4 linked regions of the Xenopus tropicalis genome follow. The protein of the gene in region 3 purifies or fractionates together with the protein of the main gene of each other region. This does not show direct contact. Links are inferred from orthologs where the notes say so. Each region holds a gene or a part of one and is shown on either strand. Other genes may lie near its edges.

Region 1 (4,499 bases), on a different chromosome or scaffold from region 3:
GGCACCTTGATTTCCGAATGACATACTTTGGACCACTGAGCAACAGTCCAGTGCTACTTCTCTGTAGCCCAGGTCAGGCGCTTCTGCCGCTGTTTCTGGTTCAAAAGTGGCTTGACCTGGGGAATGCAGCACCTGTAGCCCATTTCCTGCACGCGCCTGTACACGGTGGCTCTGGATGTTTCTACTCCAGACTCAGTCCACTGCTTCCGCAGGTCCCCCAAGGTCTGGAATCGGTCCTTCTCCACAATCTTCCTCAGGGCCCAGTCACCTCTTCTCGTTGTGCAGCGTTTTCTGCCACACTTTTTCCTTCCCACAGACTTCCCACTGAGGTGCCTTGATACAGCACTCTGGGAACAGCCTATTTGTTCAGAAATTTCTTTTTGTGTCTTACCCTCTTGCTTGAGGGTGTCAATGATGGCCTTCTGGACAGCAGTCAGGTTGGCAGTCTTACCCATGATTGCGGTTTTGAGTAATGAACCAGGCTGGGAGTTTTTAAAAGCCTCAGGAATCTTTTGCAGGTTTTTAGAGTTAATTTGTTGATTCAGATGATTAGGTTAATAGCTCGTTTAGAGAACCTTTTCATGATATGCTAATTTTTTGAGATAGGAATTTTGGGTTTTCATGAGCTGTATGCCACAATCATCAATATTAAAACAAGAAAAGGCTTGAACTACTTCAGTTGTGTGTAATGAATCTAAAATATATGAAAGTCTAATGTTTATCAGTACATTACAGAAAATAATGAACTTTATCACAATATGCTAATTTTTTGAAAAGGACCTGTAATTGAGAATTTACATTTGTAAGCGCTTAAACTTGAGTGAGAACAAGTGTTTGCATGGGCATGTGTTTGCTTAGCTATGAATGAGAGACTGTACATCTTCTAGTATGGTAATGGAAGTCAGAGTGTGATTTAAGTACGTTTGAATCGTTTTAGTGTAGAAAATTCTGGTTATATAAATGAAGTTAGGGAATACAAATATGTACAATGAATGAGCATTTTAGACAGGCACTTAATGCAAATGTTCCCCACTTTCCTAATATGAAAAAGTAATAAATCTTTACTATTTCCTGCAGGGAAAAAAATGCTTGTTGTGTCTCTTCTATTTACTATTACCGTCGTAAATTTTTACACACACAAAAAGGTATATATTTCTATAAAAGTGCACAAAACACTTATGGCATCAATTTAATTTAAAAACAAAACAAAAAAAACACATTGAAAATCAGCAGATAAAGTTCACAGCATGTTCCATTCCAACATGCCCTATAACACTCATTTTAAGATTTTTATTTTTTTTTACCTCAAGGCAATCATTAAACAGGAAAAGTGTAACTTGTTCTCCTCGATCACAAAGATCTTCACCAAGTGCAATTGTTTCTACACGCTGCACTAAAATTCGGTGGGAAGATAACAGATTTGCCTAGAACAAAAAAAAAAAAAAAAAAAACTTATAAAATATATGTACTGCGTCTATCCCTAAATGTATGGGCCAGGATACAATGCCACACAGATAAATGAACATACAGATAATATACAAGGATCCTATTTAATGGGTATAGCCTGATTTGCCCTGTACTAAGCACAATTTAGGAAGAGGTTTGGTACCACTAAAATACACATGGATTATAAAAAAACACTATGTTCTCCTGGAATCATGAGTTCTAACCCCTGCATGTAGACTTTGATACTTACAGGACATCCATCCACTTCATAGACGACATCAAAAATCTGCTTTTGCCCTTCAGTCTTCCTTTTATCTTCATTAATGTGCCTGGAGATAAGGGACAGTTAAATGAATTCAGTTACCATAGAATGCTGCCAAATGACATTCAGGCAGGTTTATGGAAGCCCAAGCATTAGACCACCGTGATCTCAGAGAACCATAGCAGTCGACATGTCCATTTACATCCATTTTAAATGAGCAGAAATGCAATGCCCATGATACTTCACAAGCACTTCTCAGGAAAGGGGAACTAAGCTTTTACAAACAATTCCTAGCTAAGAGCAGCAGCATCTGCAGGTCTGCCCCACAGAGCCCAACGCTTAAAGCTTTTACTTACATCATGACTTCTTTTAATGATTCAATTGCTTTTTCCAACATTACTTTGTCTGGGTTATCATCTGCTGTGTGCTTTTTGAGATCTACAAAAACAGAAAAGTTTCAAGTTACTTTCAAAGACTGAACAGAGCAAATCGCCAGCAATTCTATGCAAAACATTATCTTTTCAGAAAACTGGCCAAATAGTTTAGATGTAAACTTGTACTTAAAGGGGCAATATACTCTTTTGTTCAACATGAGTGCAATGAATAGGTTTTTAGCCTATTGTTTTAGTCACAAAAAATCTGTTTTTTGTTGTTCTTAAGCTGAAAAGGGACATTTAGGGTACTGGCACACTGGCAGCTTAGTCACCCCCAACAAATCTTTGCTACTGTGGGCAACTAATCTCCCTGAAATGCTTTCCATCCAGCAATAAATTGACTTGCCGGTGGGAAAACATACACAGCACTTTGTTTTTCTGAAGTAGCCTCTTGAGGAAACTTTGGTCGAAAATGAAGCATCACATGTGTTTTTCCCACTGGCGATTTACTTTATTGGTGGTTAAAAGGCATACGCAGAAAACCAGTTGCAGCTATAGCTGAGATTTAACATGGTTGACTAATCTCCTGGTGTGCCAGTACCATTAAGGTCCCCTGTGTTTGGTCCTTGCAAGGTGAATATTGGTAATCTAATTATGTACCTTTTTAGTAATAAAAATATAAGAACAGATGAATAATCAATTTACCATTCAGAAGAAGTGCAACACTTGGTAACCGTTGAACAGGTCTGATAAGGAGCTCGACTAAAGTTTGTCGTCCACATTCTGGCTTTGACTGGTTGATCTAGAAGCATAATACCAGTTATACTTATTATTATAGACTTAATACGAATAAAGTCACGTTATGGTGTTCTCAATTGTAAAAAAAACAAACAATGGGGTTATCAAACTTGCATTTCAGAAAACAAAACTTAGTACAAGTAGTGGGGCGAAAGAGGTGAGAACTTTTAAAAGAAGCGCTCTCAAGTTTATTGGGGGGTCCTTTGTAATGATCAAAAACTTCTTGTGCTAATCAAGGAAGGTTACAGAGCAAGGGATTTTGAGGCTCTTAAATACCTTCCCACCCATTCAGTCACTGACTCATGCTACTAATGAATAGTTCATGCGATTACCTGACACTTTTGGCCTACTCTTAGGAGATCTCCATTCACCCAGCCTTGTCCCATCTGTTTACTTACATCTCTTTATTATGATTTTGTAGGGTGCATATTGCAGAAGGTACACATTTTCCCCAAGCAACATATACTGCATTAATCTTTCTAATTATTATTTATCCATGATTTGGCTTGAATCACTGCAAAAGGATAAAGTAAAAATCCATGGATTGTTCTTCAATCAGACTATGCTTACCGTTCCCCAGGGGACAACATACATAAAAATTCCTTTTAGCCCCAAGAAATTCTGAACTGACTTTCATTGCTAATGCACTTAGATAACCATCACACTAAAAACACATTTCGATCCACCAGGGACAACGACCATCCTGACGAAGGTCCCTGGTGGATGGAAACGCGCACATACGAGCATGGAATAATACATTTTTGACTTTTTTTGATTTGCCATCTTGCTGTGAGGGCTTTCAACTTTGTGGAGACATTTGTGTTAGACATTTTTTAAAAGCATCACAAGAATTTAAGATTTAGAAAACATTTGCATAAAATGCACACATACCTTTAAAAAAGCGTGAAATCTCGGTTTCTGCTTTTCACATTTTATAATCATTTCCTTGCTCATTTCAAAGAAGTTGACAAAAGGTGGATATATTTTCACCAGATCTTTAGACTAAAGACACAAAAGGTATTTCTTTAACACATTAAGCAAAACAACTGTGTAAGATGCAAGATGCCTATTCTAGCTTACTACTTACTTAAATGCAGCATACACCTATAGTGTAACTCTGATATGGGGATCTGACAAAATATTTGACAAACTAAGTATTCAGATATATATATTTTTTTTTTTTTAAGACAAAAACCTATAAACACTGAGCATAGTGTAAAAAGGTCAGTAAGCAAAAACATTGTAAAAAGAATTAATTTTCAAATAAACTTACATAGGTGAGGATAATATCCCCAATACTTTTACTTTCGGCCCAGTCAATCATAAGTTTTTCCAGGTCTCCCTAGAAAAAATAAATAAATAAATAAATAATGGTTAAAGATCATGAGAATGTCAAGTATTAAATTTTAGAAAAGAGGCTTTGAGGAGTTTATGTTGATCTTTTCACATATTTAATATCCTAAAGCACTATAATATAGCACTCTATAGACCATGATATTATGAATGGCCGCTGAGTCAGTTATTAACTGAGCAATGATTTCCCCCGATTCATCTACAAAAATTATTTTGGCTAAAATTGTATGCGGTTTTATGGCATCATCTAATTGAGTATTCTGCTG
Region 2 (4,499 bases), on a different chromosome or scaffold from region 3:
TTCTTAAGCCGCACATTTCGTACAAGAGAAGAATCCCAGTCCTGTTGATATTATGTAGAGTTAGGTTAATTTCCCTTTAATATACTTCTAAACCAGAAAGATCAAAAGGTAACTGCATCTTGCAGCAATGTAAAAATGTATTGATAACTTTACACACAAATGTCAACCTCAGATCATCATATCACCATTACCAGACCACATCTCCACCATCATCTTTTATCCTCTAGAAACCAATTTCCTGGCAAATGGCCAGAGTAGGAACACAAACTAGTGTGAATACCGCAGCCTGCCACTAAACAGCATTCTACACTGTAGCCTGTATAAACAAAAATGATCTCAGGACCTGCCATCAGGCATAATAATCCAGGTGGTCATCTAAACATGGAATCCGCATGATTAGCCTACAGCTACAAATGACTAACATTGACACTCAAATAGGATATATGGAAAAGATGGAAAGAGTAGCAAACATACACGCAAACGCATCTTGAATATCTAAGAGACAGTTTCCTGGCTCAATGGCTAAAGAACCTAACAACGCCTTTCAGACTTGGCTTATTTAAATCTAAGGGCAAGGACAAGTTGGGAGATTGAGCCAGCATTCAAATTAAAAAATAAATAAATAAAATACCGCTAACTACAAATCTCTGTGCGTCACTGCCCTAAGGACTTGCTGGGGCAGATCTTTGCCATTCAGGGATAATGAACAGCTTTGGAAGAAACTTCAGTTCCTATGATGGCACCACATAAGAGTCCAGAAAAAAACAACCACCATGTTTGACATAAGCAAATGATAGTGTGTATCCCTCTGATTACATCTAAAAGCATCACAGTAAAAAAATTTGCCCAACACTATTAACGTACATCACCCCGTATAGTGGAGTTAGATCAAGACAATTTTTTAAAATAAAAACCAAGGCAGCTTTGACATAATCCCTATCTACCAAAACAAAATGGCCTTAAACAATGCCTTAAAAAATATATGGCTTATTACCAATGAGTCTTCAGTCTTGTCAAAGCTGATGTCTGAGAGAATGGAAGCAGATTCATCTATTGTTGAGAGCCTAAACAAATGTGAGGAATCAGGGAAAATTAGCTAACGCATTGCAATGTAGAATTAAACTTGAATTTTTGCACAGCTATAAGCTAGTTCTTGCTACAGCTCAGTAGCAACAATTCTGTATTTAATAGCAGATTTTACATATACATGCACTGTGTATAGTAATAATGTTCAAGTGTGCTTATTAATATGTGGATTTGCATATTTCAGTTATAAGAATGGACAGTGGCATGTAAATTGCCATGTGACGGGGGGGGGTCTTCCAAAACTGCCACATGCACCCAGATGGCGGGACAGATTGGTGAAAGCTGAAAACTGCCCTGGACGTGTACGGCTACCTCAACTGCCAACAAAATAGTTGTATGTTTTTGACAGCATTACTACTGCTGCTACAATACAGTTATGCATGCAATAGTCCAAGGCGCAGTTACTGGCTTCATATTTACCTCCTAGTGCCATTTCCATCAGCGGACATTTGAGTCCTGTTATTAAGAAAAGCTAAAGCACTTCTTTGCTGCTCACTGAGCTGAATGCTGCCAGATGGATCACACATTAGCAGTTCCCGTATCAGCTGTATTTGTCGTTCCTACCATAAGACAAAACAGGTGTTACTAACAGCACAGGTTGATGTCTTGTCTCCCCCAAAACTGTCGCACACAAATTCTCCAATCTCACCAGTTTTTCACATTCCACCTCTGCACGTTGTCTCCTCTTTATCTCCACATCCACCTGATTGCGTGCATGCTTTAGCTTAACTTCCAGCGCACTGCGCTCAGTTTCAGTCTTCATCAGCATTTCTTTATTTTTTATCAGTTCTTGCTCAGATTTTTGCCATTTTCTTCGAAAGTCTTCAAAATTCTTAGCCAGCTGAATAAACTCTAAGGAATAGGGAGAAAAGGCAATGATTGATCTCTACCATTCAGAAAGAGCATGACAATACCACTCACAAATAAAACCACACGTGAACTGTGCCTAGGGCTATACTGTCAAACTAGAACGCTTTTAAGTTCCAAACAATCAATTGCTCTCCAGGAAGAAAGGTTTGATTTTAGTGTGTTGGCATTTCCAATTATATTTACTCGCAATTTAGGATGTCTAGCTCATACAAGTTAGACAGAAACGCAATATAAATTTAGTTTAAAAGTGAAATATCAGTTTACAGTTATTTTTTGGAAAATTTCCTGTAAAGTTAATACTATGACAAAAATGTATGTTTTCAAAAAAGCTGATCGACATGAGCATGTTCTGTCATTTTTTTTGGGGGGGGGGGGGGGGGGGGAGATTTACAGAAGAATATGCAAAATCAGAGGGCTGGGAAGCCAGATACTCCCGGCTGGTGCTTCTGTTGGCAGAAAACTATACCAGCCTTCCGAGCGAGCAATGTGGAGCAATATTTTTACCTTCGCATTGGGTGCACATGTGCAGTAGAGTGAAAAGGCAAACTTTAAAAGGAGAAGGGCAGCTTTTTCACTATACTGCACGTGTCCTGGCCTGGGCCACTGAAGAATAAAGAAACAGAAGACAATGATTGTCCCATGGTGCTTGCTTTGGAGTACCCCAGACTGGCCCGGGGTATTAGGTGAGCGATTATAAGCACTAAGAGGTGCCTAACATTTGCAACATTTTGGTGCCCAGTTTTAAAATGAGGCAGTACTAATCAAATCAGTATGGGGGGGTCACACCACCACAAACAAAGAAATTCAGCTAACCGACTGTTATATTACCATGAAGATTGAATAACGTTACAGCCAACAAAGCCGAAGTTCTAATATGCAGAGACAGCAAAGCTTCCATCTTGGGATGCATACTTACGTGGCTCTATACCCTCATTCAGGCCATCTACTTGCCGCATTAATTGCTCAAAAAGATTGCGTAGGTTCATCAGGTTTGTCGCCATCTTCCTGCAAAGAATTGTCGATTAGTAGAAAATCACAACTTGGAGCATCAATAGGTGGAGCAGTGCTCGACTCGAAAGTTCTGGGAGCACATTTTGACCAAGGGAGATTTGCAGGGACTGTTTACATAAATACAGACATGTAAAAACCATATATACAAGTATGCTACTACACTTTAAGCCATTAAAACAGCAACTGAAAACTACTTTTTCACAACTCCAGCAAACCCATCATATACCTTGCTAATTGGCCAAAATTATCAAGAAAGCTCAACCATAAAGTTCTAAAAGGCTCATATCCAAGCAAAATGAAAGATAGGCAGACAGACGGTTATACACAAACTTCTACAATGTAAACTTGCATATAAACACCATACATCTTAAAAACTAGTACAAAACCAAGCAAAAATGCCTAAAAAAAATTATACGAAACAAAAATATTTACAGAAACAGCACAAAAACTTATGTGCCTACGACCATAACACACATAGCACATTTAACCTTATGGATATATAAAAAAAAAAAAAAACTACAGGTATACAGGCTCAAATTACAGAAGTCAGCCTCCTTATTTTAAGAAAATAAATCTTATTTTAAAAATGATTTTCTTTTTCCCTAATAAAACAGTACCTTATGCTTCCTTGATAGTAACCAAGCTGCATAAAAGAAGCTCTGAAAGCTTGTAGCCAGACTGGGCTTTTGTTAAAACAAAACCAAAGTCAAGCAAAAGGACCAGACCAACAGAGGGGTGGAACATAGAAGGCAAAGCAACATAGTCATCCCATATGTTGCTGGAACATAAGAAAAAAAATCAAATTTTTCAATCGCATTCCTGTGTTTTTCAAACCCAGCAACACTCAGACGGACCTGGCAGCGATACAGTTTTTAAGCACGGGCCCCTTTAAAGAGTTACAGGCCCTTGGCTCATTGGTGGTCAGCGGGTAATTTTATTGGTTGCGCCCTGTGCGTACGTGTCACGTCAGCACGCACGGGGCGCAACCTAATAAAAGATCTGCAGCTGCGGGACCTAAGAAGAGACAGCGGACGCAGAACGCTGGGGGATGTTGGGGAGAACGCTGGGGGGAGCTGGAGGATGTTGGGGAGGACACTGAGTGGGGGGAGCTGGAGGATGCAGAGGGGGGAGCTGGAGGATGTTGGGGAGGACGCTGAGGTGTGGGAGTTCATTTTCACTACATTCCACATTTATTAAAGCAACTGTTTTTATTCTTTAATTTGAAATTGATGCCTCAATTAATGTCATTTTATTGGTATTTATTTTGATTATTGAAACTTAGCAGTTGCTGCTGTATTTCCCACCCTAGGCTTATACTCGAGTCAATAAGTTTTTCCCGTTTCCTTAGGTAAAATTAGGTACCTCGGCTTATATTCGGATCGGCTTATACTCAAGTATATATGGTACATAAAAAGTAAGGTGGTCTATGCTGTCCAGTGTAGTGAAGAGTGTTCAGATCTATATATTGGGGAGACAAAACAACCTCTCTGTAAGAGAGGCCCAACATAGGAGGGCTAACTCCTCAGGACAAG
Region 3 (4,499 bases):
TTGCTGGTACTTAGGAGAATGTAGTTCTGTTTCCATAATGTGACCCAAACCATCAATTTCTCGCCAATGACTGTAGCGCAGCTGAGCCCATAAATCATATAGTGACACAGTAAGCAACCCGCCCAACATGCAAAGGACAGCAAAGCATTGGTAAGGAAAGACACAAGGACGTTGTTCAGAGTGCAATGGATGTGGGAAACGGAGCATTAGTCACTGGGGTACAGTCTGATGGTCAGTTAGGGTGTGATTTTAAGTAGAATGACTATATGCACCCCCACATAGCTCTGGAAGGCAAAATGAAGGTGATTTAGGGTGAACATGTATATGATGGCCTAGATATTCTTCTACTTGGATGTCTCTTCTCATAGATCTGAAAACTTGTTATAAGCCAGAGGGGCAAAATGCCAGGCCTCAAAGTGGGGCTTTGAAATAAAAAGGAGTAAACCCTACAAATGAATAAGATTATTTTATATACTGAATTTACTGCACCAGCCTAAAGGTTCAGCATCGCTTTAGTAGTAATGATCCAGTTAAGAGTGTCAGTGACACTGCACATGTTCAATGTGCTCTGGGCAGCTAAGCAGAAAATGAGGTTGGCCTGTTATATAAGCGGATGCTACAGGGCTGATTATTCATTTCTGGTGGTAATTGCACTGGTTTCTGAGAATCTGAATTAGTAATCAGTCCTGCATTATGACTTTTATAATAGCTATACTTACATACATGTATACACAATACATTGTGTCTGCCCCTAAGCTCAGGTAAAGGACAGATTCACAGTGCATGTGTTAAGAATTTGCAGAAGAGATGAAGCGTGGCATCACTGCTAAAGGGCAGGGCTTGCCTTGGGCTGGTACTGAAACCCAAACATAACGTGCAGTATTTGTATCCTACATCTTTGTTGTAGCTCTTACAGAGAGGGAACAGTGTGTACGAATGTTTTAAGCTCCTTTTTCAAGATAAACTGATGCTATGTAAAGTATGTTTTACACAGTCAGAAGCAGTGTGCCAGCTTATACATAAAGGATAGAATATAAAGCAGTCCATAAAGCTTCCGAGCCAGCCAAAGGCCATAAAAATGTCTTTGTAGGGCCGGCCGGGCAGATGTAATAGGTCACTAGTATCTTGGCTAACATGGGACATAACTTTTACTAATTAGATGCTTTTGAGGAACAGATTATTTCTTAAAAGAACTGGAATATCATTTTCAATTTTTTTTCTCCAGAAAACTGATTTCAGCAAAGGACAAAGCAACAAGCTAGTAACTTCCCTCTAACTCTAGCAAGACATACTGCATTGCCTTGATCTTTCCTCAAGGAGGCAGAAATGCAACGGCTGAAATAAGCACAGCTGTATATTTACTAAGGACCTGCAGTTTAGTCAATTGAAAGCAGATGCTGTTGCATCAAGTTATGCCATGGCATATGGGGCAAGAGAGCAATAGAGCAGGCATAACTTGTCAGTGGCAATGCACTAGGCTACAGTAAGCAGCAGTAATCACTGACTAATTACTCACTGACCCTGAAACACTGATCCTCTTCTAGATCTGTTTGTAGACTGGCTGCATTAACTGCTGGCCTGCTCTGTGCTGAATTACTCTTTCTAGCTTCCTCTGGCTCCTTCCGCCTGCGGCTGGAGCACCCATTGCTCTGAGGGGTGTGCTGGGGTGTCCTCTGTTCCCACTGCGTGACACATGAGGCCACGGATAGGCTGCCGCAGGAATTTGAGCGCCTGTGCAGCTGCAACCGTGCAGGGGTGGGCTGGGGAACTGGGTCACCCAGGAGCTAAAGAGACCAGAGACAATTAGTCAACACAAAAAAGCAATATATGGGGCACCTGGAATGCACTAAGTTTTAAATTAAGTCCTGCTCATATACAATTAGTAGTATCATACGGTCAACAGCAAATATATCTTGAAACATATAATAGCTTATTACAGCAGGCAAAAAATACACTGAACACTATAGCCTGACTAGAATAAGCTAACAGTGTAAGGAACCCCTCCAGCCTTGTTCAGCAGATTCTCATAAAGAATTGTATGAAGTTTTATAGCGCAACTAATGCCCAAGAGAAGCTAAGGTTACAATAGCGCCTCCCAACTCCCACAGCCAGCATCCCTGTGCAATATTAAAGGACCAAAAAAAGTCCAATGTTTCGACCACATCTATGTGATCCTCCAGGAAGATATGTTCGTATGTATATACACACACACTATATGCCAATATGTATTGGTATTTAAAGCTTGTTCAAACTCTATTGTACACATTGGAGGGACTCCAAAAAGTGGGGGCAGCACATATGGCACTCTTATATGGAACAGTATCTCTAGCCATGGGAAGCCGCACAGCAGGCCTACGCCATAAGAGGACTTGACATAACCTTAGCATCTCTAGCCCCTTAATTGCCCTTTAAAGGAACAGTAACACCAAAAAATTAAAGTGTATAAAAGTAACTAAAATATAATGTGCTGCTGCCCTGCACTGGTAAAAGTTGTGTGTTTACTTCAGAAAGTCTACTATAATTTATATAAATAAGCTGCTATGTAACCATGGGGGCAGCCATTCAAAGGAGAAAAGGCACAGGCACATAGCAGATAACAGATAAAACACTATTGTATTCTACATAACTTATCTGTTATCTGCTATGTAACCTGTGCCTTTTCTCCTTTTTTCCAGCTTGAATGGCTGCCCCCGTGGCTACACAGCAGCTTATTATATAAATTATAGTAGTGTTACTGTAGCAAACACACCAGTTTTACCAGTGCAGGGCAACAGTGCATTCTATTTTTATTACTTTGGTGTTACTGTTCCTTTAAAGAGAACCTGACAGTTTTCAGTTAACAATAGGCATGTCTTTAGAATTTAAAAAAATAAATAAATAGAAGCAGTAGTTTTAAAACTGCACAAGCAAAGCCCCATGGGGGAAAAAAAATGGAAACTATTAGAGAAGGACTCCTGGTATACTGTGCAATCCCAGCATTCTCCTCTTTACAAACGGAGGAGTTTCAGTGAAACAGCATGAGGCCCTGTCTCCCCAGTGCCCCCTGGCACCCCCCTTCCCCCCCATGCCAAGACACAAGGTTACACAAGGTTACACAAGGGAAGGAACACAGCACTAGGCCAAGGGACCACAATAATATACATGGGTGTAAGTAGATGAGCTACAGAGACTGTACCTAGCATTAGGTTAGTGTCAGTAGGACAAATAGTCACACAGTGGGGCTTATTTACCAATACTGAACACATTTATCACAATGTAGTAACCCATAACAACTAGAGGTTTTCATTATTTCATTGTTGATAAAACTTAATTGTGAGTGCTCTAAAAGTTATTTGTTAAAGTTATTTTCCATCCTCTCCCTTCCCTCACCATGTACCACTGCCCTCTCTCCTTTTAGCTTCTGTGTTTCGTTCCCCAGACCAGTTTTCTCGCCTTCCAATTTTCTGTACCCATATTCTGATTTCTCCCCAAGGACCATTTTTTTTTCTGCTCTTCCCTTTCACCCGGTTCCTTTTACTTGTGACCCACAACTTTCCCTCCTTAGTCTCTAATATTCATTCTTATACACACTCCTTTTAACTGCTATCCACAATCCTTATTACATTGGCACTCCATTATTCACTTCTTTCCTGTTTTCTTTTAATGTTCCAGCCAAAATCATTTACTTTCCCTTTATTTAAATTATTATGCTTTGGTAAAATGAGAGCTTGCCTATCACAAACGAGAGAGCAGGGCAGAATGAGTGCTATCTTGCGGATTTAACAAATATGTAACAAATAAAAGGGAAGGGAAAAAATGGTGAAATGGGAGGAGAAAGCAGGTCACAGGGTAGCAGTCTATAAAAGGGCAAGCAGCAGGCCACCATTTGGCTGAGCAACACTTATGAAATGATGAAAATGATTGCTGATAAATCCAGGACTAGCAACACATCCAAAACAAAGAACCCAAGCTCAGAGCAAACTAAATTAGCATCTTGCAGCACAGATACAGTAAACCAGGCAGTGCTTTGTAACCAGCCATCAAGAGCTGCAACACTGTCTCTGGGATTTACTAGCGTTAAACAATACAAAGCACAATTTCATTAGCTGGAAAAAAACATGTTAAATAGACAAGTTCTAAAAAAAACTGAGCTCTAGGCATAGAAATGGTATAACTGGGGGAAAAGACAGTTTCTGCAAATGTACTTCCCCCTCGTGTGGGGAGTTACACCTATTTTTCCAACATTCCAATGCAGATGTTACATGATAAAATGCAAAGCTTTGAATATTTAACCATCAGAACATCCCCACTTAACCACCAGAGTGAAATATAAACCCACCACCTACAGACAGTGCGACTACTCAAACATGCAATTGCCTACCCTCTCATTAGTGAGTAAATATGTATCAATGTAATACATACAGGTGCAGGTGAAGGTGAAATGGATCTGACAGGTACCCTTGGCTCTCTGTCCTTCTCCCTGGGTGGCCGCTCTGGTTTATCTCCCTTTGTCTCTGTCA
Region 4 (3,154 bases), on a different chromosome or scaffold from region 3:
TAAGAATGCCATCTCTGCAGTGGTGTATGCCATTTCCGATTAAGGTGCACTTACTGCCAGGGTAGATTTCCATTCCAGCACCCTGCAATATGATGATAAAAGGTATGTAAGTATATAAGTAAGCGAATAGATTGTAATAGTCTAAAAGCCATTTTATGGGATATCGACAGTAAGTGTCGTTGTCTTAGATCTAACATTACCACATTGGTCATACGTAACTATGTACTAAAAAAAAAAATTCTGCACTAAAATGGCACTGACTGTCATTGCTTTTTTGTGATAGAAAATAAAGGTGTTATGAATAAACTTTTCAGTATGCTTCATGCATTGCCTCCTCTTAACTGTCACCCTGCTTTGCAGTCATGTGTGGTTTCATTCCCACATAAAGCAGTTTACCCAGACACTGAAAAGCCACAGAATAAGTAGTAGAATGAACTTGACAGGTATATAATATGAAGAAATAAGAGTACCCCTTGCTTAGCAATGTAACAGACTAGGATTACACATGAGTGCATGTATATGAATGGTCAATACCTTCGCTCCATATAAATCACTGTACTTCATCAATAACTCTGCAGACTTCTTCACAGTGATTCCAGTAGTTTCACACTGCAACACGCAGTTGTCCAGCTCTGTCTTTCCACTATGGATAGCTTTGAGGGTAAAAGGTTTAAAAAAAAAAAAAAAAAAAAAAGACAATTTGTTAGACATCTATGAACTACTGGATTAAAAAACCAAAGCCACTAATCATTTAAAAATGATTATTATTAAAACATTAAAATCCTTGCCATTTAAGGTCCTTTGTATCAATGTAAAAAACTTGAGATGTATATGTGTAAAATCCAAAGTTCTTTGCATGCTGTTTATAATTTTGCCGTAGAAGTATTTGCCCAATGCGTTTACATTACGTATCGGATCCCCAATGTTCCTCTATGAGGGGGCTGCCATATTTGTGCAGCAGGAGTCCATTATCATTAGAAGCTATAACTGACAGGCTGAGAAGGGACAGTCAGGTTGGCAAAACAATCAGGTGTAGGAACTTCAAGTAACAGTTACTTAAAAAAAACAGCCCTATCAGTACATTCATATTTTGAAGAGTAGTTTTTTTAGTGTCAGTATCACTTTAAAAGGGATACTGCAATGATTTTTATGGCAACAAATTTATTTTTTTAGCTGTAATATTTGTGTGTAGGCAGTCACCTCAGTGCATTGTACCTGAGTCTGAGCTTTTAGAAAGAGCCAGCGCTACACATTAGAACTGCTTTCAGGTAACCTATTATTTCTCCTACTCCCATGTAACTGGAAGAGTCCCAAGCCAGACTTGGATTTCTTACTATTGAGTGCTATTCTGATATCTACTGGGAGCTGCTATCTTGCTACCTTTCCAATGTTCTGCTGATCGGCTGCTGGGGGGAAAGGGAGGAGAGGGGATATTACTCCAACTTGCAGAAGGATCCTGCCGGCGAAGCTCTATTAACTAACTGATGAGTTTTTAAAAAACATGTTTGCCCATGACATTACTCCTTTAACATATGTCCACCAGAGAAAGTCATCGTTTTAGTGATGGTTTCACCACCATCACCAGGAAAACAACTAAATAATACTAGTATCAATTTCAGTGGCAATAATAAGAAAACATTACTTAAATGAGAACTAAACCTTAAAATAGCTATAAATGTTTTGAGATAAATATTTTATATACTGAAATTGCTGCACCAGCCTTATGCTTGAGCATCTCTAAAGGAATGAAATCAACAGTAATGATCCAGGCCTTTAAGTTGTCACAGGAGCTCCCCATCTTGGATTTTGTTATAAGTGTCAGTGACACTGCGCGTGCTCTGTGGACTCTGGGCAGCTGTTGAGAAGTTAAGCTTAGGGGTTGGCTAAATACACTAGTTTCAGACCTGATTTAATAACTAATCAGCCTTGTATGTTGACTTTTACATTCTATCATTTGTGTCCACAAATAGGGGCAAGGGGAGGCAAGTCCCCCTGGAATTTTGCAAATCTCAAAGAATAGTGTAGGCAGGGCAAAGCTGCATATTAACCCATGCATTCTATATATACAGTATATTGTGAGTCGGTCCCTAAGCTCAGTAGCACAGAGAATGTGTAGTGAATCAGCAGAAAAGTAGATGGGGAGCTACTGGGGGCATATTTGGGGGCACAGATCTTCATTACTAAAGGGCTGTGGGTTGCCTTGGGCTGGAACAGAAGCCAACAACATAATATGCAACATTTCTACCCTACATCTTTGCTAAGCTTTAGATCTTTAAAATTATTATAGGGCTCCAGAGAAATCCTATAATAGCAGCGATACTGGCAACTTACTGACGTCCCTCTTTTAATCAAAGAGCAACATAACCACACAGGTTAGTTTCCCAGTATAAAAATATGAAATTTAATTTCAATCTATAAGTTAAATGGTACTGGCATCTCCCAGTGTAAAAAGAAAAAAAAAAAAGTCATTCACAGAATGTGCTTAAATACAACAATAAAATGGTGTGCAGGTTTTTTTTTTCTTTTTATTTTAATGGCTGCTACTGTGACCTGGTCTGTTGCTCTGTTTTGTGGTTCTCTGGATGCAGTACACACTGATGGCTTCATGCCTGGCACACTTTGCTTTATAGCCTGCTCAGAGGCAGGGATGGAGAATAGCCCTAAAAATCAACCTCCCAAAACATTCAGAGATTGGTGACAAAAACCATAAATCCAATTAAAAGCATAAAAGCTTCCTTAAATAACATAGCAAAACTGCTACCAGAAAGTAAAATTAAGGCCTGTGGTGACACAGGGTGGATACATGACAGGACAAAATACTCTGCCAGTTGTTAGTTCTTTTTCCCATTTCCTTAATGAGTGCAAGCAATGCAATCCATTCTGCAAACGAAATATTCTTTTGTTTGCCCCTGCACAAGAGCGAGAGGTCCAAACAATTTCAGGACTTGATTCATCACCCCTGATAGGTACAAGGCATCTAATAGGCCCTCTAGGTAAACCCATTTCACAGACCCTGGAGAGGACCATACACCACTGCTAATAGACTGGCATCCATAGCCATGGCAAGGGGGAGAACACCTGCCCAAGGAATGAAGGAAAACTTGTGTCACTTAACCACAGAACAAAAGCAACATAAGGAATGAGCCATCGAGCC

What was found.
Region 1: the proteins of kif23 (region 3) and ect2 purify together in Homo sapiens (co-immunoprecipitation; 3 studies listed by BioGRID and IntAct, with this or other methods). This does not show direct contact. The link is inferred for Xenopus tropicalis from reciprocal best matches to the Homo sapiens genes KIF23 and ECT2.
Region 2: the proteins of kif23 (region 3) and racgap1 purify together in Homo sapiens (co-immunoprecipitation; 10 studies listed by BioGRID and IntAct, counting the BioPlex papers as one, with this or other methods). This does not show direct contact. The link is inferred for Xenopus tropicalis from reciprocal best matches to the Homo sapiens genes KIF23 and RACGAP1.
Region 4: the proteins of kif23 (region 3) and shcbp1 purify together in Homo sapiens (affinity purification with western blotting; 9 studies listed by BioGRID and IntAct, with this or other methods). This does not show direct contact. The link is inferred for Xenopus tropicalis from reciprocal best matches to the Homo sapiens genes KIF23 and SHCBP1.

Annotation. Positions count from the first base shown.
Region 1 is NC_030681.2:110,939,303-110,943,801, forward strand, and holds part of ect2 (protein ECT2), read right to left. Parts: intron 4,223-4,499; coding exon 4,154-4,222; intron 3,883-4,153; coding exon 3,772-3,882; intron 2,885-3,771; coding exon 2,788-2,884; intron 2,147-2,787; coding exon 2,065-2,146; intron 1,776-2,064; coding exon 1,697-1,775; intron 1,425-1,696; coding exon 1,305-1,424; intron 1-1,304. UniProt on the Homo sapiens protein: Guanine nucleotide exchange factor (GEF) that catalyzes the exchange of GDP for GTP. Promotes guanine nucleotide exchange on the Rho family members of small GTPases, like RHOA, RHOC, RAC1 and CDC42.
Region 2 is NC_030678.2:148,520,947-148,525,445, forward strand, and holds part of racgap1 (rac GTPase-activating protein 1), read right to left. Parts: intron 2,962-4,499; 5' UTR 2,958-2,961; coding exon 2,873-2,957; intron 1,939-2,872; coding exon 1,736-1,938; intron 1,647-1,735; coding exon 1,507-1,646; intron 1,065-1,506; coding exon 995-1,064; intron 42-994; coding exon 1-41.
Region 3 is NC_030679.2:118,016,598-118,021,096, reverse strand, and holds part of kif23 (kinesin-like protein KIF23), read right to left. Parts: coding exon 4,402-4,499; intron 1,785-4,401; coding exon 1,521-1,784; intron 1-1,520.
Region 4 is NC_030680.2:72,872,898-72,876,051, forward strand, and holds part of shcbp1 (SHC SH2 domain-binding protein 1), read right to left. Parts: intron 654-3,154; coding exon 535-653; intron 83-534; coding exon 1-82. UniProt on the Homo sapiens protein: May play a role in signaling pathways governing cellular proliferation, cell growth and differentiation. May be a component of a novel signaling pathway downstream of Shc. Acts as a positive regulator of FGF signaling in neural progenitor cells.